4 linked regions of the Alligator mississippiensis genome follow. The protein of the gene in region 1 interacts with the protein of each later gene in a biochemical or structural test. Links are inferred from orthologs where the notes say so. Each region holds a gene or a part of one and is shown in the gene's direction. Other genes may lie near its edges.

Region 1 (6,874 bases):
CTGAAGATGTAAGTCTGTTCCTCTGGATCCATGAGAGTGTCTTTGTGAGTTGCTCTTTGTTGTGCAGATCAGGCAGGATTCCTTTCCTGGTGGTGTCAGATGGCAGATAGGCAGAGAGGTGTAGAAATCTACAGGCGGGCAGGGGGTGCAGTGCAGCCCAGCTGTGGGATGCACATGGCATTGCGGGGCCCCAAAAGCAGTGTCAGCAGCAGCAGGGTACAGAGCCCAGTGGGCAGCAGCAGCCCCCCTCCACCTGGCTGCCTGGGCTCCAACCCTCCCACGACCTGCTTTGGCTGGGACCCCATTCACCCCAGCCCCTGCCCCTGTCCCTTCCTCACTCCCTGCCTCACCGGGGGGGGGGGGGCCTCAATCTGCCATCCCCATGCCCCTTCCCCTTCACAGAGCAGACTGATATTTGCCTGCTGTGCTGGGCAGTGATCCACACCCTGAGCTGTGATCCTGGCTGCGTGTACACCCCTCTCCACCCTTGGAAAAGAAAAAGCAGGAAAACGGAAACGCCTCCACCCACTCCTGGATGTTTTGGGAACCCCAAAGCACGGGTGCAAGCACCTGCTTCTCCTTACCTGTCCATCACAAGGAATGCTGGCCTGGGCACTCACTCCCAGCCCCTGGCGTCAGAACCACAGCACTTGACAAAATTGTGAACCAGCCCCCTTTGGAATGGTTTAATTGTTATGTGTGTCCACACCATGCCTCACAACAATTGTAAGCAGTTTCCCATCTGCAACATTTTGGAATAGTTCAATTGTTCCATATCCACAGATGGGCAATAAGTATATTGTTCACAGATACATTGGCTAGTATAAAGAAATCTATAAGAGATATAAAGCCACTGGACAAAAGTCAACCATTATCCTGATTAGAGTTAAGAAGCAACTTCTCCCATAGATGTATTATTGCATAACTGACCATTATTATTCAGCTAAACCATCGGTTAATGGCTACTGGAAGAGAAAAAATACATGGACCTTTTTTCTGAGGTGGTGTGAAAATATTTATATTCCTACCTATTTATAAGAATATTTATATTCTTATAAACAAGGACTTTTGATCAGTTGACCTGTGATGTTGTAGATCCACCCATCATGTTACCACATACCTACCCGTATATGAGTTCTTACCCAAGATACATACTGGAGGGTAAGACTAAACTCTTAAAACCTTATACTGCCCTCAAATTACATGTTAATAATCCACAGGTATCAATGAGAGGGGTGCAAGCAGATAAAGTACAGTACAGGGCCACTAAACTTTGAAAACACAAAATTAAAAGTTATTTTCACATTCTTGGTATATAAGTAGTATTCAGAGTCTGGAGAGACTCTTACAGTCCCCTGTAGTGAACATATAAAATGGGATTATCAAAGTCTACAGAGTGCTGAGTCAGACTTCCTCCACTGCGGGAAGATTACTTCATTGCAGGGTCTTTGAGGGCTGAAGTTGCATGTGGTAGCTGTGCCCTCACTGTGCAGAGGACTTTCGATCAGTTGACTTGTGACGTTGCAGATCCACCCATCATGTTACCATGCACCTACTCGTCTTCCAAAGCTGCCACAAATTTTTTCAGTGGCCTGGGATTCATGCTTATGTTTCTTGGCTGCACTGTGCTATTGCCTTCTGTGCCTTTTATACCAAGAGTGCAGTTTTTAGCCTTTGAGGAAGTTGTTCTGGAAAGAAAAAGATTGTGTTATCACCGTTCACTTGATTACTGATTACCAATTTTATAAATGTGTATGTGTAAGTATAATGTCATGAATGACATACATAAGAATGACATACATGAATGTCATATAAATACCATGTTTACTGCAAACTAATGTCTATAAGCTATATGTTATTGCTAAAGTAATTATTAACACATACATACATCAGGGTCATAAATCACACACACAGATCTTTTTTTTAATCTCAACATCCATGTCAGTTTAAAGAAATAGAGCCTTTTACAAAAAATTTGAATGAAAAAATAGCATTATAGAATTTAACCTAAAAAAAAAAAATTACACTTTTTGAGTTTAATGATGCTTGATTTCAGAAAGAAAGAAGCATGCTTATAAAAACAACCAGTAAGATGCAGTAACTGGTTTTAAATAGTATGACATACATTTTGGAGCAAATTAATACATTTTTTAAATTATGAAGTAAGAAGAATTATTTTCGCACTCTAAAAGGTGCTGTATTGATCAATACATTTTAACCTGCAAGGTCACAGCTAGTCTAATGACTTGTGGCAAGCACCATTTAATCCATACTTTCAGTAGCAGCAGTGATCTGTTAAAGCACAACATCATTTTCAATAGTTATGTCAACAGGTGCTGGAAAGAGCATCATGTGCATCAGATTGGTGGTGGGAGAGCTATGCATACATTTAACTGCCTAGCCCCTTTATAAACTAGTGTCCCTTCAAATTTTCTCAGCCATGGTTAATTTAAAATGGCGGTGGGAAAGGGAAGAATGTGGAAAACTTTTAAAGACTAATGAAACCTATGCCCCACATCTTTTTCACACATGTTCAGTCATATGGCATTGCTCTGGAGTGGCAATGTAATCCTACACAGTATAAACGCATGAAGTGTTGACCTGGGGAAGTAAATCACACACCTGGTAGCTTTTATCCCCCTACTGCAGGGATAAAACATATATCAATTTGTGTAAATGGTAGCATATCAGTAAGAGTAGTATCTTGCTGCTTTTCTTTTTTGCTCTGACGGATGTGAAAGGTCTTTGCTTGTCTTCTTGTGTATATTAAGCCCCGAAGATCTCACTGGCACGGCAAGTGACAACTGGTGCCCGGGAAACTTTTATCCCCAATGTTTTTAATTTCCATCTGAAGACATAGAGAGGATTGGTTTGTTTTTGTTGTGTTTTTTGGCCTTCCCTTTTCCCCTCCAGTGAATTGTTGCAATGCTACCAAACGATCTCGTCCAAGAAGAGAAGGGAGGGCTATAACAAAGTGCCATGTTACAAGCTGCACAGAGGCAGACAAAAGCAGATGTGGGGGGGGGGGGGGGGAGAAAAAGAAAAACAAAGAAAAAACACCCCCAACCCCAAAACATGAGGGATTAAAAAAATAAAATAAAAAATCCTGCCCTACAGGATAAATGTGGAAGACAATGTTCCTTGCGGCCATTTGGGGTGGGGGAGAAAAATACACTTGCTCCTCGCTGTGTCCTTGCTCTTGGGGGGGTGCACATCCCGGGCAGGGGGATGGGGGGTGATGTTCCCAAGGTTTGCATTTGCGGAGGGAGCCGTGAGGTGGGCTGGGGAGAGAGCGAGGGAGACGGGCCGCCATATTTCTGCCTTTACCACGCCCGGAGAGGCGAGCCATTGACAAGTCGGGCTGCTGGATACATATTGTGCCTCTGCCTTCCCCCTCCGCTTGTAGTAAGGGAGAGGCAGGGACAAGGGGCGACAGCTCCGTCCGCCGCGGGAAGTAAAGCCCATTGGCAAGAAGATCCCCCGGCCCAGCCCAGCCCGCCCTGGCGCTCTCCACCGCCGCGGGGCAGAGCGGGGCCGGCAGCCGCGGCTATTAGCCGGGGGCTGGGGCGGGAGACGGGGGAGGAGGAGGCGGAGTAGGAGGCAAGCGGCGCCGGGGGTGGGGGTTGCGCGGGCCGGCGAGGAGCCGCCCGGTGGCTCTTTCCTCGGTGCCTGGCAGGGAGCGGAGGAGGAGTTGGCTCCGGCAGAGGCGTGGGGGTAGGGGCCGGTGCCTGCGCCTGCAGCCGGGCGGTGCGGTGCAGGGCGGTGCGGGCCGGGCCGGGCGTGTCCCCCGCGGCGCGGCGCTGCGCTGCGCGGCGCGGCCGGGAGCTCCGGGGGGCGGCGGGGGTGGGCGCTGCGCCGGAGCCCAGCCGGGAAGAATGACTCTGGAGTCCATCATGGCGTGCTGCCTGAGCGAGGAAGCCAAGGAAGCCCGGCGGATCAACGACGAGATCGAGCGGCAGCTGCGGCGGGACAAGCGCGACGCGCGCCGGGAGCTCAAGCTGCTGCTGCTGGGTGAGTGTGGGGCGCCCCGGGGAGCCCGCCCGGCCTCGGCCACGGCCCCGGCCCCGGCCGCTCCCCGCCACGCGCGCTTGCACACGCAGCTGTGGACATGCGTGTGCACATACACGCCCATACGCGTGAGCAGTTGTGCACTCGTCTGCCAGTTACACACACACACGCAGCAGTGCACATGCATGTGCAGGAACACAGCACGGAGGTGGACACACTTGTGCAGAAACATGCATGTGCACCCATCTGCCAGAATGACATGCATACACACAGGCAGACATGTACACACATATGCCAATGCAGATATACACGGGCAGCTGTGTACACGCACCCATCTGCCAGTATTACACACATGCATACACACACCCATGGGCAGCTGTGTACACGCATGTGCACCCATCTGCCAGATCTTGCATGCACATGCATACCCCCCCACACACACACAGGCGGCTGTGTACATGCATGCACACCCATCTGCCACTGCTCTTGCATGCATGGTTGGCTCCAGCTGTGTCTGGCTGCAGGGCTGGAGAGGAAACTAGAGGGGAATCAGCTCCCTCACAGCCCTGTGGGTGGATGGAGGAGACCATTCCAGTTCCACGCTCCCTGCCTTCTTCTAATGGGCACTTGCCACCAGCGTTGTGATGCTGATCAGGGCAACTAGGCGGGTGGGGGTGGGGGTGGGGAAGAGACACAGGGTGGTATGTGTGCAGGGGGTGAAGGGTGGGTGTTGCATTGTCTCCCTCAGCACTGCGACTACAGATGTGGCTGAGGCAATAATCACCTCTGGTTTCAGTTGGTGGGGAGGCTAGCTGTGGCCTTCCAAAATGGAGAGAGGGGCTGAGGGGGTGGAAAGGGATAAGGGAAGAGACTGATGCTTGTTTGCCACAGGCATGAAGAAGCAATGGCAAGGCGGCAGCTAAGTGAAAGGGCTGGAGGGGGGAAGCTGCTTTGCAGATTGATGGTGACAGGCGTTAATGTCTGTACTGTTCTGGGAGCCCTGGCGAAGGGGGCTGCCTGGCTGCATGTTGGAGCTATGATTTTTATTTAACGAGGTAAACGGAGATACATGGGATAGGCTTAGTTTATGGTCTATATCTGTATCTCTTTATACACATATTTATACACACACACATATATATACAGTGTGTGTGTACACATACATACACGCAAAACCTGAGCTGCACCCTGAAACTGACTTGTAGCCTACAAGCATGTCTGAGACTGACAGGTTCTTTAATACCTTTGGAATCCACCCATCGGTTAGGAAATGTCATTTACAGCATACAGCGGCCTTTCTTTTTAATCTCGGCAGAAGCTAATGCCATTTCAAGTAATTCTTTCTTAGAAATGTGGCTTATGTGCTCAAATAAGCCTCTTGAGTGAAAAGAAAAGGCTCCATGTCCAGACTATTGTAATAACGCATAGCCACTGTGGTAAGGGAGCTTTGTGCCTTGGACTAACAGGCCCTGAAAAATGTCTGCACCACTGTCTGGTGTTTGTGTGTCTGAATGTGTGTTGGGGAGAGCAGGGGGTGTATTGTGAAATCACCTCTCACATTCACAAGACGGGGACTATCCATTTTATTCAAAACATTCTGTCTTGTACTATGCGTAAAGGTGGTAGTTGATGCTGGGGAGTAAATTGTCTTTCAAATGAGCTAAAGGTGAGTCAAAGTGCAAATTAATTGAAATGACTGTTTATGAATCCATTCTTTCCCCTGGTGTTATTTTAATAAGATGATATTATTAAATCATATTGGTCTTAGATTTAGATTAAGGTATTGGGGTTTTAATGGGTGTGGAGAAATAGCAGGAGGAGACAGAGGTTGACATTAACATTACAATTACTTTGGTTTTGGTAGTGTAAGAGTGGCATTGTATGCGTAATGGTCCAGACAATAATGTGAGTCAATAATGTATATAGTTGGTCCAATAAAAGATATCACCCTAAGAAATCCTTGCCTCCCCCTTTGGTTTTGGTTTAATTTTGCATTTTCAGGTTTGAAGTAGAGAATAACATAACCTGCATGTGCTTTAATGGATATTTACTAAAATGTTTTATACATTTTATTCAAGAAGAATTTGACTGGTGGTACAGTAGTTCTCAGTTGTTTCTGCATTTCCTAGGTTTTCCTTCAATAATGCTTGCGGGTTTCTCCCAAGGTTTTGGAGAAGTAAAAAATTTGTGGAAGGATATAACTGTGTTCTCTCAAAAGTAAGGACAATTGAAAAGTACAAAATATATAGTTTAAAAGATTTAAGCTCCATTCTACAGTCTATGATGGATGAATTTAACTTAATATACAAGTAGTCTCAGTGATTTGTAAGATTTGCCTGCTGGTAAAATTAAGTGCATGTGACTGATAGCATGATCTGGGCCAAATTTTGACACTGCTTAAGCCAAATTAAAGGGGTCAGATTTAAAACTAGAACCAATAAGGGGCTGTTATTTTTATAGATTGGAAGAAAATACAGAGTTTATCCGTATTAGGGATTCTTGCACTGTTGTTTCAATGCTAGCGTAGACCTTCTGTTTTAGTATGCTTCATTAGGGCAAACTGAGAAAATTGCAGTAGTGCAACTCTTTTTTATAAAGAGTGATGCATCTATATTGGGTGTCCGTGCCAGTGTAGCAAGATCAGTAGAGAAGTCCCTGATGCATAGATGCCTTAATTGTTTTTAAATAAAATTTTATTAAAAGGAAACTTGCATCTTTAAGTCATACACATGACTGAAAATGGGGGTGGTGAGGTGGGGTATGTGTATTGTTGGGCTTCATACCTGAAAATGGTATATGAATTGTTGGATTTAACACCTAGAGCTCTTAATCCTGAAAAAGTGCTCCATACAGGCAGTCCACCACA
Region 2 (7,195 bases), on another chromosome or scaffold:
AGGACGGGTGGGGTGGCAGGGGGCCTGCAGCTCTTACGGAGCCAGTTATCAAAGGGACAGGTTGAAAACATCTCCCGCCTAATACCTGCCCCTCCAAGCGATACAAAAACAGAGACGTACTCCTAGCACCTGGGCAGCACTGGCAGGCATGAAAGGCACCTAGCGCCAGCCTCTGACCTGCCAGCAGCCCAAGCAAGCCCCGGCCAGGCAGGTGAGCGCGGTGGGAGGGCAGGCACACAGCACACGGGGTCGGAGGAAGAGGAGGCATCCCCCCATCCCCGGGCCGGGGCTGGCAAAGCAAAACCTCCCCCAACCAAACAGCCGCATGTGCGCCCCCCCACCGCCCCAGTCACGGGCAGCCCCAGGGACACCCCCAGCATGCAACCGCACGACCCACGCCCGAGCCCCCGGCAGGGATCCGAGCTGAGCGCCCCGCGGCCCCGCTCACCGCGCCCCCACTCCGCCATGGCCGCGGCCCGTCTCCGTGGCCGGCCCCGCCCCGGCTGCTGCGGGCGGAGCCACCGCCGCTCCTTGCCCCGCCCCCGCGCCGCCTGGAGAGAGCCCGGGGCACAGGGGCCGGAGACACTGGCCTGCGGCCGGCTTCCTCCCTCCCTCCCTCCGAGCGGCAGCAGCCGGGGTCTCCAGTTGCAGCAAGGGCAGATTAAGCTGTTAGGGGGAAATAAACCCCGCTCACGCTAGGAAGGGAGCACAGTAAAGGAGCAGGTCGCCTGGCAAGGAAACGCCGTGTATCTGCGTCCAGGAAGGCAGGGTTCCTCAAGCGCTCCCGGGCAAACCTGCTCTTCTGGTGCCCGCCCCGGCGTCGGGGCTTCAAGCCCACTTGATGCAAACGGCAGCCGCTCTCTAGCTCGCTCCTGCGGCCACACGGCTGAGGCGGGGCGAAAGTCGGCGGCATCTGAACCGCTTGGGCCCGCACCTAGGACACCTGCTAAAGGATTTTGGAAACATCTGCAGCCTCTGGTGAGGTGGAGGATGTTTGCGGGCTGTAGGGCCAGTATGGTTCTGGGCTGACTCCGGGATTTGGACTTGATTTGACTGGGAACATGAAACATTTCTTTAAAAAAACAGGTCTTCCAGAGGTGGTGGCCTCTCCATCCTTGGACGTTTTTAGGACCCAGCTAGACAAAGCCTTGGCTGGGAAGATGTAGTTGGGGATGGTCCTGCTTTGAGCAGGGGTTGGACTAGATGACCTCCTGAGGTCCCTTCCAGCCCACATTTCCTAAGACACCACTCATAAAAGCCCCTCGCCTCTCTGGCAGGTTTCCTGGGACATCAGGGCTGCAGCATCCCTCCAGCACTGCCAGACACAAAGGGCACGCTTGTCCAGCCGCAGTTTGACTTCCTTTTTTCTCCCCTCTATAGCAGTGACTCTCAGGCGGGGCCATGGCACCCGAGATCCTTTTTAACCGTGCCACACAATACGATGCACAGGGTAGACCCAGCGACTTCAAAGAGGAATACATAGCAGCAAGAGCCATCACACCTGCTGTGAGAGGCAGGAATTCTTGTGGGCGATTCTTTTATCGGGCCATCTGTGCGCGGTTGGGATAGACTAGTGCTTCTCAACCTTTTTAGGTTTGAGGCACCCCTCCATAGTCTCAAGGCAGTCTCCATAGGGACTGGAATTAGAATTATTGGACTGGACAAATTCTTGGGGAAAAAGGGCATCAGTATCTATTGAGCACAGGAGTTAAGGGTCCAGCCTCTGAATTCAAAGTTCCTGGACCTTAAATGCTAGAGGTTGCAAGTGATGGAAGAAAGTGAATAAAAACCAACCCTGGTCTTGTCTTGTTTACTCTCCCTTTCAGTATCCATTTTCTGCCGCTGTGTGACACAGGCCTATTTGACACATAGGGTTAACGTGCACTTTACCACAAAGCAATAGTTACTCTCCCCGCATAAGCCGCGGAACAGGGTGGGGCACCCAGGCCATGGCCTGACCAACATTTAGCACGTTAACTTAACTAGCTATGCAGTTAAAAAAATAGCTATACAGTTTTAACCGGAATGGCAATTGCGCATTTGTGGGTTATATAAATTGATGTGCTACAAGTTGGTCAGGCTGTGGCCCAGGTGGCCCACCTCGTTCTGCAGGCTATGCCCCCTGTTATTAGAGGGGGCAATTGGGTATATGTCAGTTGATTTCAGGGGACAACTAAAGACAAAACAGGACTGGGAGTGAGGTCAGAGGTTCAAAATGAGTACACCAAGGAGGGGGACACTGAGCAGAGTACACTGGACAGTGCCCACTGAATAAGTCCAGGGAGCTAGTGGACACTGCCAAGTGAAACTTTGTCTGGAGACATGAATGGACCAGGCACAGGAAAATGGCCCTGCAGTCCCCGGGGGGCCCCCAGCCAGAGCCTCTGTGTGACAGGCCTATTTGACACATGTTGGGAACATGGCCCTTATGCCCACAGATCAACAATTACCTCCCCTTAATAATAGAGGGAGCTATTGGGTATGCATCAGCTGAATTCATGGGACAAAAAAAAATACAAAACAAGGACAGGAGTGAAGGTCACAGGTTCAAAACGAGTGCACCAAGGGGGACAGGCTGAGCAGAGTATGCGGGACAGTGCCCACTGGCCCTCAAGTCCAAGGAGGCAGTGGACACTGCCCAGTGAAACTCTGCCCAGAGACATGAACAGACCAGGGACAGGAAAGTGGCCCCACAGTCCCCAGGGGCTGCCCAGCCAGAGTCTCTGTGTGATACAGGCCTATTTAACACCTATTGGGGACATGGGCCTTAGGTTCACATGTGTCAACTGATTACTTGAGAAAACAAAAGAAGCAGGGACAGAGTAAAGGTCATAGGTTCAAAACAAATGCACCAAGGGTAGACATCATGCAGAGCACACGGGACAGTGCCCACTGGTCCCCAGTCAAGTCCAAGGAGCCAGTGAACACCTCCCAGTGAAACTCTGCCTGGAGATGTGGATGGTCTCCCTGGCCAGAGCCTCTGTGTGATAAAGGATCCCCGGCCAAGATGGACCTATAGTCTGATACAGTCAATGGCAATTCTTATGTTCTTACAGGCTGGAGGCAGCCCATCAGGAAAGGCCAGCTCTTATTTTTCACTCATGTTTAGACTACAGAAAAAAAGTAGAGCAATTCTGTTGCAAAGAACTTATGCAGGCCATTCCAGGTCTGAATGCTTTTAACACCATGGATTCCTTTCCTGACATCTCTGGGTTTATTTTGTGAATCCCATTAGCACACTCAACAGGGACAACATTGTGTGGCACCCCTGAAAGGACCTCAAGGCATCCCTGGGTGCCATGGCATCTTGGTTGAAAATCATGGGTGTAAACACCCAAACTTCTGGCTATCCTAGGACCCTATCTCAGGCCTGTGGCCTTGCTGCGTTCTTTGCAGCAGCAGAACGGCTTGATTCTTTTTTTCTGTAGCAGAAACACGAGTGATAATGAAAAGCTGGCATTTTCCAAGGGTTGCCTTGAGTCTCATGAGGGTGCCTTGAGTCTGAAACAAGGTTGAGAACCACTATTGTAGGGATTCCTAAAAAATGAGGGTTGGAAAGGACCTCAAGAGGTCATTTAGTTCAGTGGTTCTCAACTTTTTTTTGTACCAGGACCCATTTGTAAACATTGATGGCCAGTCTGGATTCACTCCGGACCCGCTGCCCCCAGGCCCTAGCCCCTCAGAGTGTGAGGCAGTGGAGGCCCCAAGCAGCCCCTGGCAGGCTGGAGCTCTGCCAGCCTGCAAGGGAAAAACCCTGGTTTCCCATGTTTTTTTCCTATAAGGAAGAATCCATTTTTAAAGTTTCTTGATCCATTTTCCAAGTTGGTTTGTGCCCCTTTCATATATTCTTGTGACCCACGGGTTGAGGAATGCTGATCTAGTCCAGCCCCCTGCTCAGACCAGGACCAGCCCCAACTACATCATCCCAGCAAGTCTTTGTCCAGCTGAGTTTTAAAAACCTCCAAGGATGAAGAGTCTGCCACCTCTCTGGGTGACCTGTTCCAGTGTTTTATTATCCTCCTCAGGAGAAAGCTTTTCCTAATATCAAACCTGAACTTCCCTTGCTGCAACTTGAGCACATTGCTCCTTGTCCTGTCATCTGCCACCACTGAGACCAGCCCTCCCCTGGCAGGCAGCAGGATCCGCCCCTTGCATTTTGCACAGTGCTCATGTTTTTTTTATATTCCTCTTGCTCATAGTGCGGGGCGGGAAACAGCCTCAACCCCTGACAAGGCTCCTGATTGCTTGTATGGTTGGCAGGCTGGTGGGTGATCTCTGCCCTGTCCCACAACCCCAAGCCTCCAGGTAAAGCAGCTCTTCCCTTTGCCTGGGTCTCCACCCAGCTTCCAGCCACCCCTCCCTGCCTCCTCTGGCTGAGAGCTGGGGAGGGCTAGGGGCAGCAGCAGTGTCCAGGAAATGAAGCAGGAAACCTGAGCCAGCGCAGCTAAAGAGAAGGTAACTCGCTCATCTTTTCTCCCTCGGATGGCTCATGGCAGTCAGACATCTCTGTCCCCTTGGCCCCTTAAAATCCCAGCAGAGGTGGCCTTAAAATCCAGCAGTTTGTTGCAGCCTCTGCCACACTTCCATGTAGATTCTCTCTGCAGGGTCCCTGCTTGCCTGAAATCGTCTCCATTTTGTCCCTTTTTTCAAGCGATCAGCAAGGACTTGCTTCACAGGAAAATAGAAAGCCACATCTCTATAATTATTCACTAATGCTGTGATCCCACAAAGGCTTCCGCAGAGGAGCTTTGCCACCAGGAGTATTTTCAGTTCCTCTTAATGGGATTGCTCCCAGATGTAAAGCTAAGCACATGAGTGAATCTCAGTAGGATGCTGGTCAAAAGGAGGAGCAGGAAACCAAGCCTCCTCCTGTTTTCTTAGGGGACTAAAGGTGACAAATAGGTCTGTTTTCTTAGGGGTTTGAACCCTGAGGAAAGAATGGCAATAAAGAGGAGGAGGGGACCTTAAACAAGCAGAATAAAAATTGCAAAGATTGAGGTCAGTGGTTATTATAGTCCATCTCCTGCATTGTTATGTGATGCTGGACTGGGCAACATGCTGGAGAGTACTGTGTTAGGGATAAATCCTGCACTGGTCCTAAAGGAAGGAGCTGTCTGTTCCATCTTTAATGTCTATGCCGCTATGAAATCTCTCTTAGTTCATTGTGTGCATATGTGGACGTTGTATTCCTGTTTTTCTTCCCAAATAATTCTATATGGAGCAATGAGATGTCAGAGTGGGCGCATCTATAGGTGCACTTTAATGTGTAGTAGCCTATTTTACTGCGTATTAAAGCATCTCATAAAAACCATGCTAATATGCGAATGCGTTGTAAAAATAGGCTAGTGTGCTTTAAGCTTCGCTAAAAAAGCATGCACTTTCACTACTCCATATTAGGGTAGCCTAATGCTCATTTATTTAGGATCTCAAATTCAAGGTACCAAATTTAATGTGCGTCAGGAAAAGTGCATTAATGGACGTGTAGACATACTCAGTGTGCATTAAACTGACACTCTGACTTTAACTGTGATAACTTTGTAGCGATGGCACAAACCATATGGCAGAGGTTCTCAAACTGTCGTCTGCGGACCACCACTGGTCTGCAAGCTCCATTCAGGTGGTCCACAGATAGGTTGCAGAACAATCAAAAATATCTGTAGTTGGCCCTGCATTTGATTTATTTTTTCTGACGATGGAGATTAAGTGGTCCGCTGAGACCCTCAGCAATTTTCAAGTGGTCTGCGAAAAAAAAAGTTTGAGAACCGCTGCTTTGTGGTGTCTTAACCCGTGTCTACATTGCGCGTTGTGGCAATGTAGACACATTTGAGTTGGTTTTAATCTAGCTAGCTTGGAGAATGAGAGCAGTGAAGTCACTGGCACAGGTGTCAACCACTGATTACCCAAGGCTCTGGGTGGGTTTATATGGACCAAAATGACACTTGCGCTCTTGCAACATTGCTGCTGTCAGTACCTATGCTATCTAGATCAAAGCCAGTCTGGGTATTTCTGTGCATGTTGCAGTCAGTCATGACTTTCTGTGGCAGTGTAGATATAGATGTAGATGTTTGATTCTGTAGTAAGCAGCTCCCTTTGGAGTCTAGGATTGGGGCTTTGTGTCATTTTACACTACCCGTCTTCAGTACTATTGCAAAATTTGTCACACAGCTATAGAATCTTAAATCTTTGTGCTTTCACAAGTGTGTGGAATCATACTGTGATTTATGATGTGACCCCTTATTATTATTTAAAGTCACAGTTTCAGCACTGTAAGCCTATGTGGTGCTTTATAGACACTTTAAACTCATGCCTAGCCTTTAAACATAAATGTGTGTCTAGTGGTTTATAACAGATCACTTGGCTTTTGAGATGGTGTAAACCTATTTCCTCCTGTATCATGAAGACACACACTTGTGTAGTCTGTTCAGCATGTCCTCCAACTTCCCTAATTACATAGCCCTTTGCAGGCCCCAAATGCACCAGGCTGGGTTTCTTTTTGAAGAAACTGCTGAGGAACTCTTTCATGCCACCTTTAAAAGACTGCTCCACCTTAACCCAGTCGGGATGGAGCTTGTCTGTCTATGTTGCTCTCTTGTGAGCCCCTGTTATTCCCCAGGGATGTTTCTGTGTGTCTGTGTGTGTTGGGGGGGGGGGTGATTTCCTCTGTGCACTATGAGAAATCAGGACAGTCGGTGGTGGAGGAGGAGAAGGAGGGCTATTTCAGGGAGCTGCAGTTATCTGTTCTGTGTTAATCCTCAGGCTGGGGGTGAGGGAGGTTTCCTAAGTGATTTAGTGGGAGGGCATATATTAAACACTGAAAGGCAGAGAGAAGGAAGAGGATTAAAGGGAGGGGGAGAGGGAGAGAAAGAGGAAGCTTGTGGCTGGTTTTACTGGGGATGTTCATCTGCTTTGCTTTTTAGGTATAACAGAGTAAGCAATCGCACTTGTTTTTTTCTCCCCCCCAGCTGTCTGTGTGGCAGGGTCCCCCTGCATCTGTAATTATCCAGCAACATAGCAAAGCCCCTCCCCATCTCGCCTCACATCTGTATCTAAGCTGCTGGAGCAATGGAGCTCAGGACTATGGTAGCGACTGTGGAAAGCAGGGAGCAAGACACAGTCCTCAAGGTGCTGCAGATCTACAATCAGGAGGTGAGTGAGTATGGCAAGCTGCTGCTTGATGTTGCCTTTCCCTATTTAT
Region 3 (7,151 bases), on another chromosome or scaffold:
TTGACCTAACTGCTCTATATCAAAAGCAAACCCAGAGAGGCTCTTACCAGTCCCACCTTCCATGAATGAAACGCTGGATAATCAGAAAGAATCCAATTGACTTTTCATCATTTTTCCTAGGAAGGTGGATTTTCCCCTTCATTCCTCTATACTGGGGGGCTAGAGGCCTGCACATGCATTGTCCTCATGTTGTCAGAACCACAGTGTCTAGGATATAAGCATGGAAAGGAGGAGAAGCTTTCACCAGTTAACCTGAAAACAATGCTTTTCATGGAACATCGTGCTTGGTCTTGTGTTTGCCCAGCTGGGAGTAGCTTGCTACTTGCACTGCATCACTGGAAAGGATCCAGCCTGCCTAATTCCACCTCACTTGATTCTTTGTCTTGATCAGTATCACCAGACAGATTTAAAAAAAAAAAAGGGGGGGGTTGGTTTTTTTACTTCCGAGAGCTGTAGGTGTTATCTTTTTAATTGTTTCCTAAGGCTTAAATCTTGTTAACTCAGAAGTTATCTGCACACTCTGGCTGGCACTCTTTGGAGCCGTGCTTTATGAGTAGTATTCCGGTAATGCTTCCATCACTACTACCCTACTTCAAGATCAGGGCCATGTTGTATTGGGTGCAGGACGGACGACCTCATGTAAGGTGAGCCCTGCCCCAAGGAGCCCACAGTCTAAACAGAAAGGAAGGAGGAGTATTCTTGGGCCACAGTGAAATGAAGTGACTTGCCTACAGTCACCTAGAGAGTCAGTGGCAGTGCTGAGACTTGAACTTTGGTCCCCTGAGTCCCAGAACAGTACATACCAACAAGGCCACCCTTCTGGCAATGCTTTTCCTTTAAGACTTCTTAATATTCTTCTCCTTTCTGGAGGTTCTTGATTGGCAGCAGTCAGCGCCAGCAGGAGGGACCTGCACTTCTGCCTCTACACGTGCCCAAGTCTCATCTCCTCTCTTACCACAGGGATATGGGAGCTGATGGCCCAGCAGGGGCCAGGAGGCAACTGCTGCGGCTCTGAGAGAGCTGGGTTCACTCCCTACCTTGAAGGGCCATAGTACATTGTGGGCTGAACACCTCCATGTGTCCTCACTGCCACCTATGTGACAGGGCTTAGGGAACACATCCAAATGGGCTGGACAATACTCAGCTGGGTTTAAATTCACAGCTGGAGGAGGGAGGAAATATACCTCTGCCCTCTCAGCCAGCCACCTCTGTGCTCTCGGCCATTGTTAATTTTCCCAAGGTCCTAAATAAAACCCATAAAGCAAGGAGCCAGAGCCAGTCAGAAAAAGGGAAAAAGTGTTTTGGGTTTTTTTAACTCTTAGGAAGCATCCAGTTGTAAATGCTGCCTTGGCTTCTGCAGGAATTGGAGCAGAGAGGTCTCACATGCCCATTCTCTTCTCTGAGCCGGGTGTCCCAGCCAGACTACATCTCCCACAGTCCCCTCTGCTTTTGGAAGGGGGTGGCAGGGTATCACCGGATATTTTGGCTGTAGTACATCATGGGAGGTAGGCATGAGGAAACCAAATGCTGGACCAGTCCCAAACCCTGCTTTGTTTGTTTTCAGATGTTTGGGATTTGAAGAGGAAAATCTCCATCTTCTAAGGGAAGCGGATGTTCTCCTTGAAGAGCCGCCTTTGGTTAAAAAGCCAGTTTTCTATTAACAAACCACCCTTTCTGATTAGACCCATGTCCCAGGTCTGCTTCTCTGGGACCTTGGTCAAGGTACAGACCTGAGGATAAGACAACAGTGCTTATTCTTGTAAGGATAATGTGCCACATGAGCATGTCTTAGCAAACATGTCCCCAAGGCCGGATTAATACATAGGCAAACTAGGCACATGCTTAGGGCCTTAAGTGAAGAAGTGGCCCGGTTGTGCTTATTTGACATGTTACTTTTTTCACTCAATAATTATAATATAAATATACAGTATTAAGTAGGGAGGGGACCACGAATTTGTTTGCCTAGGGCCCACTAAAGGGTTAATCCCTCCTGCAACCAGTTAGGCACGTGCTTAACTTCCAGCGATTAGGTAGTCCCATGGACATCGCACCAGTGAAGTTAAATATGTCAATATTGCCAACTCTGCAAGCCTTACAGTGTTGGGTGCTATACGTGGGAGCCCCTGGTCCCAGTCGTGATTCAGTAGGAGATTCCCTGCTTTCACTTTAACAAAAAGGTAAGTTTCTCGTCCTTGTGGGCTAGAAGAAAGCCTGCAAAGGCTTGGAAACCAGAAAGCAAATAAACCAGTTGTTTTTTAAATACCCATGGTTTTTGAGATGGCCTCAGGACTTTGTCTCAGCCCAGCTTGTGAATTTTGAAGCCTTGTGGCTGACGGTCCTGGAAGATGGAAGCGGCACCATTTTGGCAGAAAAATAGTAAGCAATAAGATGGCAATGTTCACTTTCCTCCATCATTTAATAGTGTTGGAGTGATGTAGTAGCCATGATTGTCCAGGAAATATGCGAGAGGCAAGGATTTTTGTGGGCGATATCTTTTATTGGACCAACTGTATAGTTGGGATAGACTTAGACAAGCTTACGAAAGATGTCCAGTAAAAAATATCATCCACAAAAATCCTTGTCCCTAAGCCAGTAGTTCTCAACCTTTTTAGACTCAGAGCCCTGAGGCACCCCTGACTAAGCACAAGGCACCCCTTGGAAAATGCCACCTCTTCATTTTTACTACAGAAAAATAACAGGGCAATTCTTCTGTTGCAAAGAACTCAGAAAGGCCATAACAGGGCAGAAAGATTTTTAACACTATGACTTCCTATTTGAAATCTCTGGGTTTTTCTTGTGAATCGTGTTTACATACCTGCTAGCGCTAACAGTATGTGGCACCCCCAGCACCCTTGAAAGGATCTCTCAGCACCCTAGTTGAGAATCACTGCTCTTAAGTAATGAAATATTTTCCATCCTTCTCATGGCTTGTGTGCTGTTTGCCTCTTGCCTGTGGAATTTGTCTGGGCAATGATAGGATCATTCTGGTTGGTTTCACTCCCATTTTTAAGCCTCTTGCAAGGGAGGGAGTGGGGCTTTTTATCCCAGCAGTGAATTTGACTTGATTTCCTTTCCAAATGGACAACACTAGCGGTAGCATATGTAGGGGTGGGCAGCGGGACAGCAGCCCCAGAAATTACTTGTTTTTGCCTCTAAACGCTGGTATGAATACTCAGAGTCCAAACAATAGGTGGACTCCTCTCTCCAGCTGTGCTCTATGCATTTAAAGACAAAGCTCGGGTATGCTTTGCCAATAGGAAGACCAGAACTGATTTTTCTTTCACATGGGGAGCTGATTGGCAGGGCCCTCATCCTTAGACTGGTAGTTCTGAGGCAGGCTCTGCCTTTTCGTTTCAGGTGCATACCAGGCCAGGAATGTGTTTCATCCCTGTGGACTAGAGCACTCCAGCGGGGTGCAGGACTTTGCTAGAGATGCAAAGACTTGAAGGTTAGGCAGGATCACTGCAATAATCTAATCTGACTTCCTGCATCGTGCAGACCAGCAAACCTCGCCCAGGAATTCCTGCGTCGGGCCTATACACTTATGGTTTGAGCTAGGCATCTCGGCTCAGCTCCCAGTCTATATTCAGGGAAGGGGGACACAGGGTGTACCAGGTCCCACGCTGCTCAGATGCAGACCTGCCCCCCATCCCAGTCCTCCACTGTCCTGGCAGCATGGCAGAGAGGAGATCACAGGTTGCAGCTTGGTAGGTTTTCATGTGGCTCCTCTTTCAAAAGCAATTGCCCCTGGGAGGACCTGCAGTTGTTACTGTGCCCTCCACATGCTGCACTTGTGTACCTGATGCACTCACGCAACCAGGTAAGTGGTGCCCACCAGGCCACACGTGACACATGCAGCCAGCTGTTGTGCTGGCACCGCCATCGTCAGAGGCTTTAAGCAACATTTTGGGGGGGGATGTGTGAGACTTCAAGCAACAGCGCGCGCGTGTGTGTGTGTGTGTGTGTGTGCGCGCGTGTGGCGGAGGAAAGGAACAGGAGAACCTGGCCTTGTGTGTGCAGGAGAGAAGGACGAACACATCAGCTGAGACCTCCAGAGGGCAGCGTTCAAGCTCTCTGTCCTCCCAAAAAGCTTCACTTCCAGGTTTTCAAGGCACTGTGACTTTAAGCTGCAGCCAGGGAGCGGGGGGGGGGTGTGTGGAAGAGTCTGCATGAGAAACACACAAGCCTGCAGCCAGCCAAGGAGGAAGAGTGTGAGTGCAGGAGCCTATCCTCAGCGCCTTGCTCTCTCCCCCTTTTCTTTTTTTAATGCCCCTACAGATTCCTTGGAACTTCTTATTTCCCCCCGCTTGCACTGACTCAAACACATCTTTTAATCTCCGGGCCCAGGCCCCCCCCTTCCTCTCCCCACCACACACACTCAGCCTTCACACTCTGCTTCCCCCGAGTTCACACCCGCACACACTCCACTGAAAAACAGAAGCAGTTGTCAGCAAGAACGAGGGGAAGACAGCCGGCCAAACCCCAGTCTCAGGGCACTGGAGATCCGCCTCCCTTGTGTGCACACACACACGCGCGCATACACACTCACACACACAGCCCTAGAGAGGAAGAGGCGGTGAACAGCAGAGGAGCTGGGGCTGATCAGAAATAAGGAAGACGGGAAAGAGCTCGCTTGCTGCTTTTCTCCACAGGCATCATGTGGATCTCTTGGTGAACGGGCTTGGGGGGAACGTACCCCCTTTTTCTTCCCTCCCCCTGCCCCAAGCCCTCCCTCCCCCTTCACAGCTGGCATCAAGGGGGCAGCGGGGGGCTGCCTCTGCCGCTGAAGCCTGGGGGAATAAAATACAGTAAATAAGCTTTTTTTTTCTAAATAAGAAAGAGAAGGGAAAAAATTTTTCTGGCAAGATGGCCGACCTGGAAGCTGTCTTAGCCGATGTGAGCTACTTGATGGCCATGGAGAAGAGCAAGTCCACTCCGGCAGCCAGAGCCAGCAAGAAGATTCTCCTACCTGAGCCCAGGTGAGCCCAGGCAGGTGTGGGGCAGCTGGATACCTAGGCCCAGCCACATCCCCTCCTCCCCCGGGAGGAGGTCAGTGTTCGGTGGGGTATTGCAAAGGACCCACCACCTTGCCCTCCAACTCCCCCTCCAAAATGCCCACCCCCAGGGCCTCCCTGGAGGCAGAGCTGCCAGCCCAGTGTGGGCAGAGGGGTCTGGGTGGCATTGCTTTAGGAGGGGAGCAGTGTGTGTGACTGGGCATGGCGGGGCAGTGGGGGTGGGGGGGAAGCTGGTGCTTTCTGTCATGTCGAAGCTGTTGCTTCCTGATTCTTCTCCCTCACGCCAAGCCCAGGTCCTTCTGTTTTCCTGCGTCCCTCTGTGTGCCTGCCTCCTTTATCCCCCACCCAGGGAGAGGGGAGAGAGGGTGGTGATTATACCCCCTCCACTTCTTTCAAACCCACCCCTCAGACCCCAAATCTAGGTTCCCCTCCCCTTCATGTCTGTCAGCGTGCAGCAACCGGGGCTGTGCTCTCCTTGCCGAAGCAGCCCTAGCATCCAGGACTAGTGAACCCGGGCACCTTGTAACAGTCAGGGATGTTCGTTAGAGATTGTCAAGCATGCACCTGCGGGCAGGCACAGGGGACGCTGTCTTGACCTAGGGGTACACAGACCCTGGCATGTTCTCACACCTTCTGATCCCCCACCCTTCGCAGGGTCTGGACTCAGCCCCTGCCTGGCCCAGCCTTGCCGTGCTGTGCATCCATCAAGCACATGGTCAAGGGTCCATGTAGTGCAGCCCAGGGCAGGAGATGTAGCACCCATGGCACTTTCTTCCTCCCAGAGGACTTCAATGGGACCACCAGGCTGCTGTGGTCATGGCCCAGCCAGGAAAATGCAGCTGGTTCTGGGGTGTGAGGGATCTGGCAGGGAGGAGAGAAAAGGCCTTGAACCAAGGGCTCTAGGGCTGCCTGCCCCCCGCCCCTCATCTGTCTCCCCTACACATACCTCCTGTGCTAGCCATGCTGGACAGATTGGGGCTAGAGCTGTGCAGAGTGTGTCTGAGATGGGCTTATGCCTAGTGCGTGCAGGTGGGTGGGACGAAGGGATGGATAAGGAGCTGGAGGCCTGGATTGGTGGTTGCGGGGGTGAGTAAGAATTTGGAGGGAGGGGGCCAAGTCATCCAGATTCAGTGCTCTTGTCTCCAGGGAGTTTAGCTAGACTAGACCCCGCTACCCCCCGAGCAAGACCCACCCCTCAGCTTTATGGAGACAGTTTACATTCAGGTCCTGCCAGTCTCTGCCCTTCCCCAGTATCCCTGTTAAAAAGCATCTCTGCCCCACGCTGCCCCTGACAGCCACAGGCATTGCCAGGCCCTGGGAGAGGGGATCTCAGAGCTCAGGCCCCTTGTTGGCCCCAGGTCCCAAGTGCCCCCTGGGCCCATAGCACGATGGTGTTGAAGGAAGCCCAGGCCCCACCACATGGGCACGCTAGGTTAGTGATGACTTGTGGGAGACAGCAGGAAGCCAGCACCAGGCCAGGGGGTGCTGAGAGGTCACACCACCCTGGGTGATTTTGGTATGAGTGTAGTCCATCCAAATGCATGTGCGATACCCTCTGCCCACACTGCCGGTGGGGATAGACCCCAGGCTCCACAGAGGGAGATGGCAGCCTTGCTGCCTCCAGCTGCCCCCTGGTCAGCACAGCAGGGAGGCTGGCCTGGGGAGTTTTCCCTCAGATCTTTCCCTACTGGAAGTAATCACTTGTTTGGAGTGCCCCCACCTCACAATCCCACTGTCTCGGTACTCAGGCTGGGTGTGTTGACCCCCCCATGTCCCAGAACAGGATGTCTCCTAGGTCCAGGTCTGCCGAACCCCTGCCCTGAGTTGTCTCTTCCCCCCGTAGATTCACACACCTGATCCTTCCACACTGCTCCCTCCCCCCATCATTGCAGGATCAGGGTCGGCTTTGCCAGCCCTGATGGGGGCGTTGCACAGGGGGCGTCTAGGCTTAGGGGACAGAGGGCACTGGGGCAGGGTGCAGTGGAGCTCGGCCTTTGCAGGTGGGGAAGTGGTTTGGCCTTTACATGGCTGTGGGCACTGGGCTGAAGGCACAGTGAAGGTTAGGGCTGCATGGAGGGAGAAGTGGGGGCTTAGCTGGTGTGTGAGGATGGGGGCCCTAAACCAAGATGTGGGGCT
Region 4 (6,979 bases), on another chromosome or scaffold:
GACCTCACAAACAAGACAGCCTGGAAAATCTCCCCCAGGTCAGGGTATCACCAGTGCCAGTGTGACATTGATAGGTCATTTGTTCAGTCTTAGACATCCACAGTCAAAGATGGAGCCACTAAAGGTCAAGAACATAAACACTGACCCAAGGGCAAAAGCTGCTCTGAGGTACGTTTAAACAGAAACTGAGATTTAGGAAATCAAGATGGGTCTCACATAGCTCTCTGCTTGTCCAACATCTGTTTATTTTTATCTCTACTAATCTCAGACAACCAAATAATGCCAAACAGCTTATCAAGCGGGCGTAGTTCTTGGGACTATTACATGTCCCCCTGGTTACCTTATTGCGTGCTTTCTGTTCCCAAGGAGATTCATGGGAATTATGAGTAAACAGTAGGGCTGTGTGAAGCTTCAGTCCCTGATTCTATTCGGTGGAGATTCAGCCCAGTTCGGTGGCTGAATCTCTGAATCTGAATCAAATCAGAGGACCCTTTAATCTCTCTGAATTGAATTGGAACCCTCCAAATTGATTCGGAGAGGTTCGGAGATTCAGATATAGAGACAGTTTTAAATGTTTTTTCTACACACCTCTAGGTAGCAGGAGCTCATGAACACCGTGATGCTGGGGTGCATGGAGCGTCCCACAGAAGTGCGGGGTGCTCCCCAGCACGCACGGCAGCAGACCCAGAAGTGGATCAGAAGCACTTCCAGTACACTTCTGGGTCTGCTGGGGAGAGTGCGGGGGGCCTCTCCAGCTCGGTGACTGGTGCCTCCTGGGTCTGGGGGGGCACCCGGGGTCCCCCTGCAGCCAATCACTGAGCCAGGGGAACACGGAGGAGGGGGCCCCCAGCATGCTCCCCAGCGGACCCAGAAGTAGACTGGAAGTAATTCCAGTCCTCTTCCAGGTTCACCGCCGAGCATGTGGAGAGCCCCCCACAACAAGCTCCTGTGGGATGCTCCATCCACCTCAGCACTGCAGCATTCACAAGCCACGCTGGTACCTTGAGATAAGTAGAAAAAACTTTTAAAGCTGTGTCTATGGCCAAATCACTGATTCTCTGAATCAGCATCGAATCTTCAGATTTGGATTTGGCCGAATTGAATCAGGGACAATGACCCAAATCAACCAATCTAACCACTGTCCCTGATTTGGGCCGAATCCGAATCGAATAGGGCCCACTTTGCACACCCCAGTAGACAGCCATTACACAAGACATAATCAACCCCCACTCTCAGCCTTCTTCTTTGGCAGTCCCTCACAGCCGAGGATGATTGTTTTCCATGATTGTCTTATCTGTGTGTCCAGAGATGGCTGATGAGGCCTATCTGGGATGGACAGACTCTACTGTAACTCAGACAGGTGTTTCCGTGTGGGGTGGGTGGTGCTGTATTTTTGATTTGGTCCATCACACGCTGTTTCTGCCACTCCCGCTTTTCCATCTCCTGTTGTTGTCATGAGGTTTCAAAGTACTGAGATCCCTGGAGTAGACTCATTCTCCATTTGGGGCGGTCCTGGGCGATAGTCTCCCCTGAGTTGATATTAATGTTGCATTTTTTTAAGTTGGCTTTGAGGACATCCCTGAGGCGCGTTCTCTGCCCTCTTCTTGAGTGTATGCTTTTGAGCATACTCTCAGCTAAGCCATGGCTCACACCAAAGCCAGGGTGAGCAAATATGCCAAAGGAAGAATGTATTGAACTAGGCTCATTCTCGAGGTGGGCCCTGGAGATAAGCAGGCTAGTGTTCTGGAGGGCTCTGCCAGGGGAGGGGAACCTCTATGCCACTATTTTTCTATAACCCTGCTCTGAAGAGAAAGGAGCTGAGTTCAGTTTCAACTTTACTTTAAGGTGCAGTATCCCGTCCTCCAGGCCCCATCAGCTCAGCCAGTTAGGCATTTTCTCCTTGCCTTTCCCATTCTGCTTTGTTCAGGTCTCCTCAGTGCCACTCAAATGGCTGCAACACCTCAGGCATTTCAGAAAATCCCAGCAGACACCTATCTGCATCTTCAGGCACCTAAATGTCTTTAACAAGTGGCTACTAGAGCTAACACAATGGTAACCTAAATGCATCTTCCCTGTATTCAGTGTTTTGGAGTTTGGCCCACTGCTGCCCCATGCTGGAAGAGCCGCTGCCACTGCTGCCATGTTCCCTGGGTGAGAGCCAGAGTTGCCACTGCCATGTGCCCCATGCTGGAGCTGGAGCTACTGCTGCTGACACATGCCCCAGGTGCTGCCATCCAAGAAGGGTGCTCTATAGTTCTTCTTGGTTCAGCTTCTCCCAGAAACAAGTGTCTAAGGCAATGTCATCTGAAGGCAGCAGTAGCACAGCAGCTTGGAGAAACAGTGCCTCCAGGTTGAACTGGTGCATGTTTCAGCACCCTTGAAAGGGTCTTAACTGGTGTTAAGAAATTCTATTTCCTTCAAACTTATTTCTTTCATGGGCCCCTGTTGAATTAAATCATTGCAGTCCTATAATACCATCCTAGGATTCACCTACTGGTCCAGATCAAGTCCATTTTTGCCCCCAAAACCACTTAATGTGAGCTCAGTATTATTTTTTTAATGATTATATTTCTCTATCTCATCTCATGCCTTTGTTCGTATTAAAAGAAAAGGGCTTAGACAGGCTTCCTTCCTTAGATAGCCTTGGCTTCTTTGTTACCCTGTCAGTGATTTATGAATACTGCCTACTCAACATGAAAATGAAGAATTATTTCAATCCTGCACATACTTGAAACAGTAGCCATGACGTTATCTTCCCTTTCTTGCATAAATATACACAAACATTTTTGCTTTCAGGTGTGAGCACATACATTTGAATATACCTTCATGGATGCAGCATTTCCTTGCAAGGTCTGTACTCAGTACTGGCATGGCACGTGGGGTTTGTTTTTTCAGTCTTCCCATAGACTCTCATCCCATTTTACTCAAGAAACACCTCATATTCTCTAGGGCAGGGGTGGCCAACTTGTGGTATGAGTGCTACAAGTGATACGAACAGCCTGTGTGTGTGATATGTGAAGGCTGGCAGGCAGGGAACAGGCAGCACAGTGGCAGATAGAGTGGGAAGCAAACAGCAGCTTGTTCAGGGAGCACTGGGCAGGGAGCAGAAAGCAGAGCAGCAGATCAGGTAAAGGAAAGCACCAGTCCAATGCCTCAGGAACAATGAGGGTCTAATTTTTGGCATGCCTGCCAAAAAGGTTGGCTCCCACTGCTCTATGGGGGTGTCTACATGAGATGCTATGGCACAGTAGCAACGAGCTATGGCACAGTAGCTCGTTACCACTGCACCATAGTGTTGCCAGGCATGAACCATGATGGCAATGGTATGGCAAAGTAGTAACAAGCTCATTGCTACTGCACCATAGTGTAAAAAAAAAAGTTTAAAAGTGCAGGGACGGTATTGCATAGTAATGCTGGTTACTGCGCACTGCCACCTATGTAGCCGTGGCCTATGTAATGTATTTCTTTATTTCCCCTGGGCCTCTAATTTTTGCAAGTTACTGTCTATGCTGATTCTCTGGGGACAGAAGACATTTATTCAGTCATCTAACTCAAAGATGTTGCCCACTGTTTAGATTTATCTTAAATGTAAGGGGAAAATGAAATTAAGTAACTCACAAATTTACTCTCCCTTTTCTCGGTCACCTTTTCCCAATCCTCCCTTCCCCTTTCCCTAATAGATTGAAAGAAACAGCCCATCTTATGCAAGGCAGGAAACTCACAATATTTTTTTTCCACTCTATCCAGAGATTCCAAATCTGCATGTCAACTGTGATCTGTCATTTCTGGTAAGGTTTTCTTTTTCATTGTATCTTTTTTGTCCTGATTCATACGTCAGTCTCTTCCTCTTTTCCTGTTGTGTAGGCAAGGAGGGGGTGGCTGCTGCTGCTGTGCTGATTTCTGACTGGCTGGAAAAATGATGCTGGACTCTTTGGTCTAGACTATAAAACAGACCCATGCTGGAGCCAGCAGGCTTAGAAAACAGAAGCACTGAGAATTCTAAGCAAATAGCGCAGCAGGTAAAAACCCGGACACAGCCTCAGCCTCCTCTTGTACTCTTTTCTGGAATTGGGACAAGAACTCCAATAGCAAAATGTGCAAGGGACTTGCTGCATTGCCGGCCACTTGCTTAAAAAGGTAGAGTCTATTACTGAGCATTTTTATTTTTTAAGTTTATAGTCGTGTTGATGTATTCGAGACTGTATCTAAACGGTATTTTACAAGTGTTTCAATCAGAAATAATCAAATTTGAATCTGTTTTTTCTCCAAGATGATATATAATTGATTGTTTAAGGATTTCTTTTTAGGCTAGAATTGGATTGCATCATGGTTCTTTGCCAACTATTGTGAATTCTGGACTAGCTCTAGCCATCAGCATAAATTGCCTCTGTGCATTTATGCATTTTTGCTCTCCTTTATTATATGTTACTGCAGGGTTGTGTCAGCCTCACCCTGTATAGCAGAAGAGAGATCTGTTTTCATATTGAAATTCAGGAATGACAATCTATGTGCATGGTATTTTAATGATATTTGTTTGATGTGTAGCATAATTCCTGAAATAAATGTCAAACTACTTTATGCATCTAGCAAAATAGGTCTGGTTTATAATCATAAAGGAAGGCATATAACAAGAAAATTAAACAGCTGGCAAAAGCAGAAACCAGATGGTTGTTTTGATGGGTGCTAGGGGGACAAGGGCTTCATAATGCAGTAAGGTGCAGTATTATGTAAAACTGAAGATGAGGGGATGGCTGTGACCTGGAACAGGAGGCATGGAAAGAAATGAAAGAGCAGGTTCACAGTTTTGCGGCCAGAGGCTGTCTCTGTTTTTCAGACCTTCCCTTGGGGAGAGGATTCTAACAGGCTTGTTTTACCAAACCTGTTAGTTAAACATTAGCCATTTGGTGCGCGTGAAGTAATGCCTTATGGTAGGGCAGGTAGCTGTCAATATGCATCACTCCCTACTTCCAGGGCATAGAACAAATGCCTTGTAAATCAGCCAAAAATATGGTTCAGAAATCAACTCCCTCCCTTCCCCATTTCCCTCTAATTCCTCGAAAGCTTTGGCCAGGTTTGCTGGATTCTAAATTACTTTGGGACATTACTGTCTGAGAGTCTGGATTCTTTTCTGCAGTGAGTTGCCTCAGTTTCTCATTCTGACTGAGAGTGGGACAAAAAAAAGAGGGTCAACTAAGCAGGCAGATTTTGCAGGTGGAAGAAAGGGGATGTCTCTTTAGTCCTCTTCACTGCTATAGGATGCAGGAATCTGTCTCCAGAGTGACAATCAATCCACCCTGGCCATAAGCAAATCCTTCTGGACGGTGTGTCTCAGAGCTTGAACAAAGCTGGGATATGGCAAGGAGAAAGAGACGCCTCATCTCATCCTTATGGAGAAGTCCTATAGAACATCCCAGAGTGATGGCCTCTCTAAATCTGTCCTTGGGTCATCTTAACATAATGCAGAGTTCTGTCCCTGTCACTGAAATCTATAAATGGTTTTCAGAGCTATAGAAAGGACAAAGCACTTTAACTTTAATAGCTTCTAGAAGGAAATTCACTTTAAACCTAAACATCTCTTGTACCCCACTGGTTTCAAACTTGTACTGCTCTCTGGGGCTGTGCCCAAAGGCCTTCTCTTCAGACTCACACTGCTAGGTCCTGCCCATGTCTTGTTACATCTTCTTGTACAAGTTCTTCCAGAGCAAATCTGGCCTCTCTGCCCACCCAACCGTACCTCTGGGCCAAGCAAGCCCTGACAATTTGCCACCTTCTTCTCTCTGGCTTCGATGATTTAAAGAAATCCACACATGCTAGGCACAGCATAACTCTGATGCTAGGCAAACAACCTTAACTCTGATTACAGGAGACTGAGTGTAAAGATATGCAACTTTTTTCTTTTCTTTTATCTTGCTGTCGCTATGCCAGCACGAAGTCTGCACAGCTTTTAAACAGAGGCATATGTCAATATGCAATAATTGGCATATATGCATATTGGCTCATTAAATAATTGATATGCAATGTTGCATCTGGAACTTGGCACCTTTAGGAGGTGTTCTCTGCAGTGCAGCTTAGCACACTGACTGTTGACTGGATCATGGCCCTAGCTGGGTATATAAGACATAGTAGGGCAGAGAACACAGTCAACTGGACAGGCAGTCCCTCTTTGTGCTAAGGAAGTGCATAAGGCAGTTTCTTCCTGGGATAGAGAGGCACATACATCCCAATACCTTGCCATAGCTCAGTCCTGTGTTGTTTCATGATGCATTTTTTAATGGGTTCAAGGACCAAAGAGTTTTCTGATGGTATTAATGCCCCATCATGAGGACTTCTTTTCTCAGACTCAAACAGAGGCAGCAATAATATGTGGCACTAATGAATGGCAGCTCATTAAGCAAGTGGGAGACGCACACAATCTCTCTTGGGGACCATGAATTGAATGAAAATATTGGTACCTCATTGCAGAACTGCACACTGAGCAGTGGGAATGGAATCACTTAAAGCAAGGAATCCATTTACTGTTCCCAACTTTACTCTGCCTGTTATTAGGTTGGTCTTGCTAACACAATTTTCCTGTTTTATTTCCACTCAAGTGTGCTCAGAGTCAGAATGTGAACATGACAGTGTATTTATTTGCTGAGAGACTCTCAGATCTATTTTTTTTTTTTTTTTGGTACATAAACTGAATCATCACTAACTGCCAGGGCTGTGAACTCAAAGCTGGGTCTGTTTATTTTGCTATGCACATCAATGTTAGTAGTAAGAAGCTAAATGCAGACCCATTTTGAGCTGCCAAAACCAATGGTAATTGCAGATATTCAGCTCAGATATCCTGCAGTTAGCTAATGATTATCTCAATGATGCAGGAGGCAGAATAGAATCCAATACCCCCTGTTATTCCTGAATTCACTACACAAAGATCAGTGATGGCCTTACAATTAGGGTCTGTACTAGACTATAGAACATAGGACTGGAAAGGGCC

The links.
Region 2: the proteins of guanine nucleotide-binding protein G(q) subunit alpha (region 1) and RIC8A form a complex in vitro, tested with the Homo sapiens proteins (2 studies listed by BioGRID). The link is inferred for Alligator mississippiensis from reciprocal best matches to the Homo sapiens genes GNAQ and RIC8A.
Region 3: the proteins of guanine nucleotide-binding protein G(q) subunit alpha (region 1) and GRK2 form a complex in vitro, tested with the Homo sapiens proteins (3 studies listed by BioGRID). The link is inferred for Alligator mississippiensis from reciprocal best matches to the Homo sapiens genes GNAQ and GRK2.
Region 4: the proteins of guanine nucleotide-binding protein G(q) subunit alpha (region 1) and RGS4 form a complex in vitro, tested with the Homo sapiens proteins (3 studies listed by BioGRID). The link is inferred for Alligator mississippiensis from reciprocal best matches to the Homo sapiens genes GNAQ and RGS4.

What each region holds. Positions count from the first base shown.
Region 1 is NC_081826.1:199,600,262-199,607,135, reverse strand, and holds the start of guanine nucleotide-binding protein G(q) subunit alpha, read left to right. Parts: upstream 1-3,858; 5' UTR 3,859-3,875; coding exon 3,876-4,011; intron 4,012-6,874.
Region 2 is NC_081825.1:179,403,598-179,410,792, forward strand, and holds the start of RIC8A (synembryn-A), read left to right. Parts: upstream 1-4,187; 5' UTR 4,188-4,455; intron 4,456-6,679; exon of another isoform or gene 6,680-6,763; intron 6,764-6,962; 5' UTR 6,963-7,062; coding exon 7,063-7,146; intron 7,147-7,195. Other genes in the region: BET1L (BET1-like protein), read right to left, coding at 121-268.
Region 3 is NC_081825.1:176,049,675-176,056,825, forward strand, and holds the start of GRK2 (beta-adrenergic receptor kinase 1), read left to right. Parts: upstream 1-4,144; 5' UTR 4,145-4,866; coding exon 4,867-4,979; intron 4,980-7,151. UniProt on the Homo sapiens protein: Specifically phosphorylates the agonist-occupied form of the beta-adrenergic and closely related receptors, probably inducing a desensitization of them. Key regulator of LPAR1 signaling.
Region 4 is NC_081828.1:40,943,472-40,950,450, reverse strand, and holds the start of RGS4 (regulator of G-protein signaling 4), read left to right. Parts: upstream 1-3,969; 5' UTR 3,970-4,093; coding exon 4,094-4,137; intron 4,138-6,979. UniProt on the Homo sapiens protein: Inhibits signal transduction by increasing the GTPase activity of G protein alpha subunits thereby driving them into their inactive GDP-bound form. Activity on G(z)-alpha is inhibited by phosphorylation of the G-protein.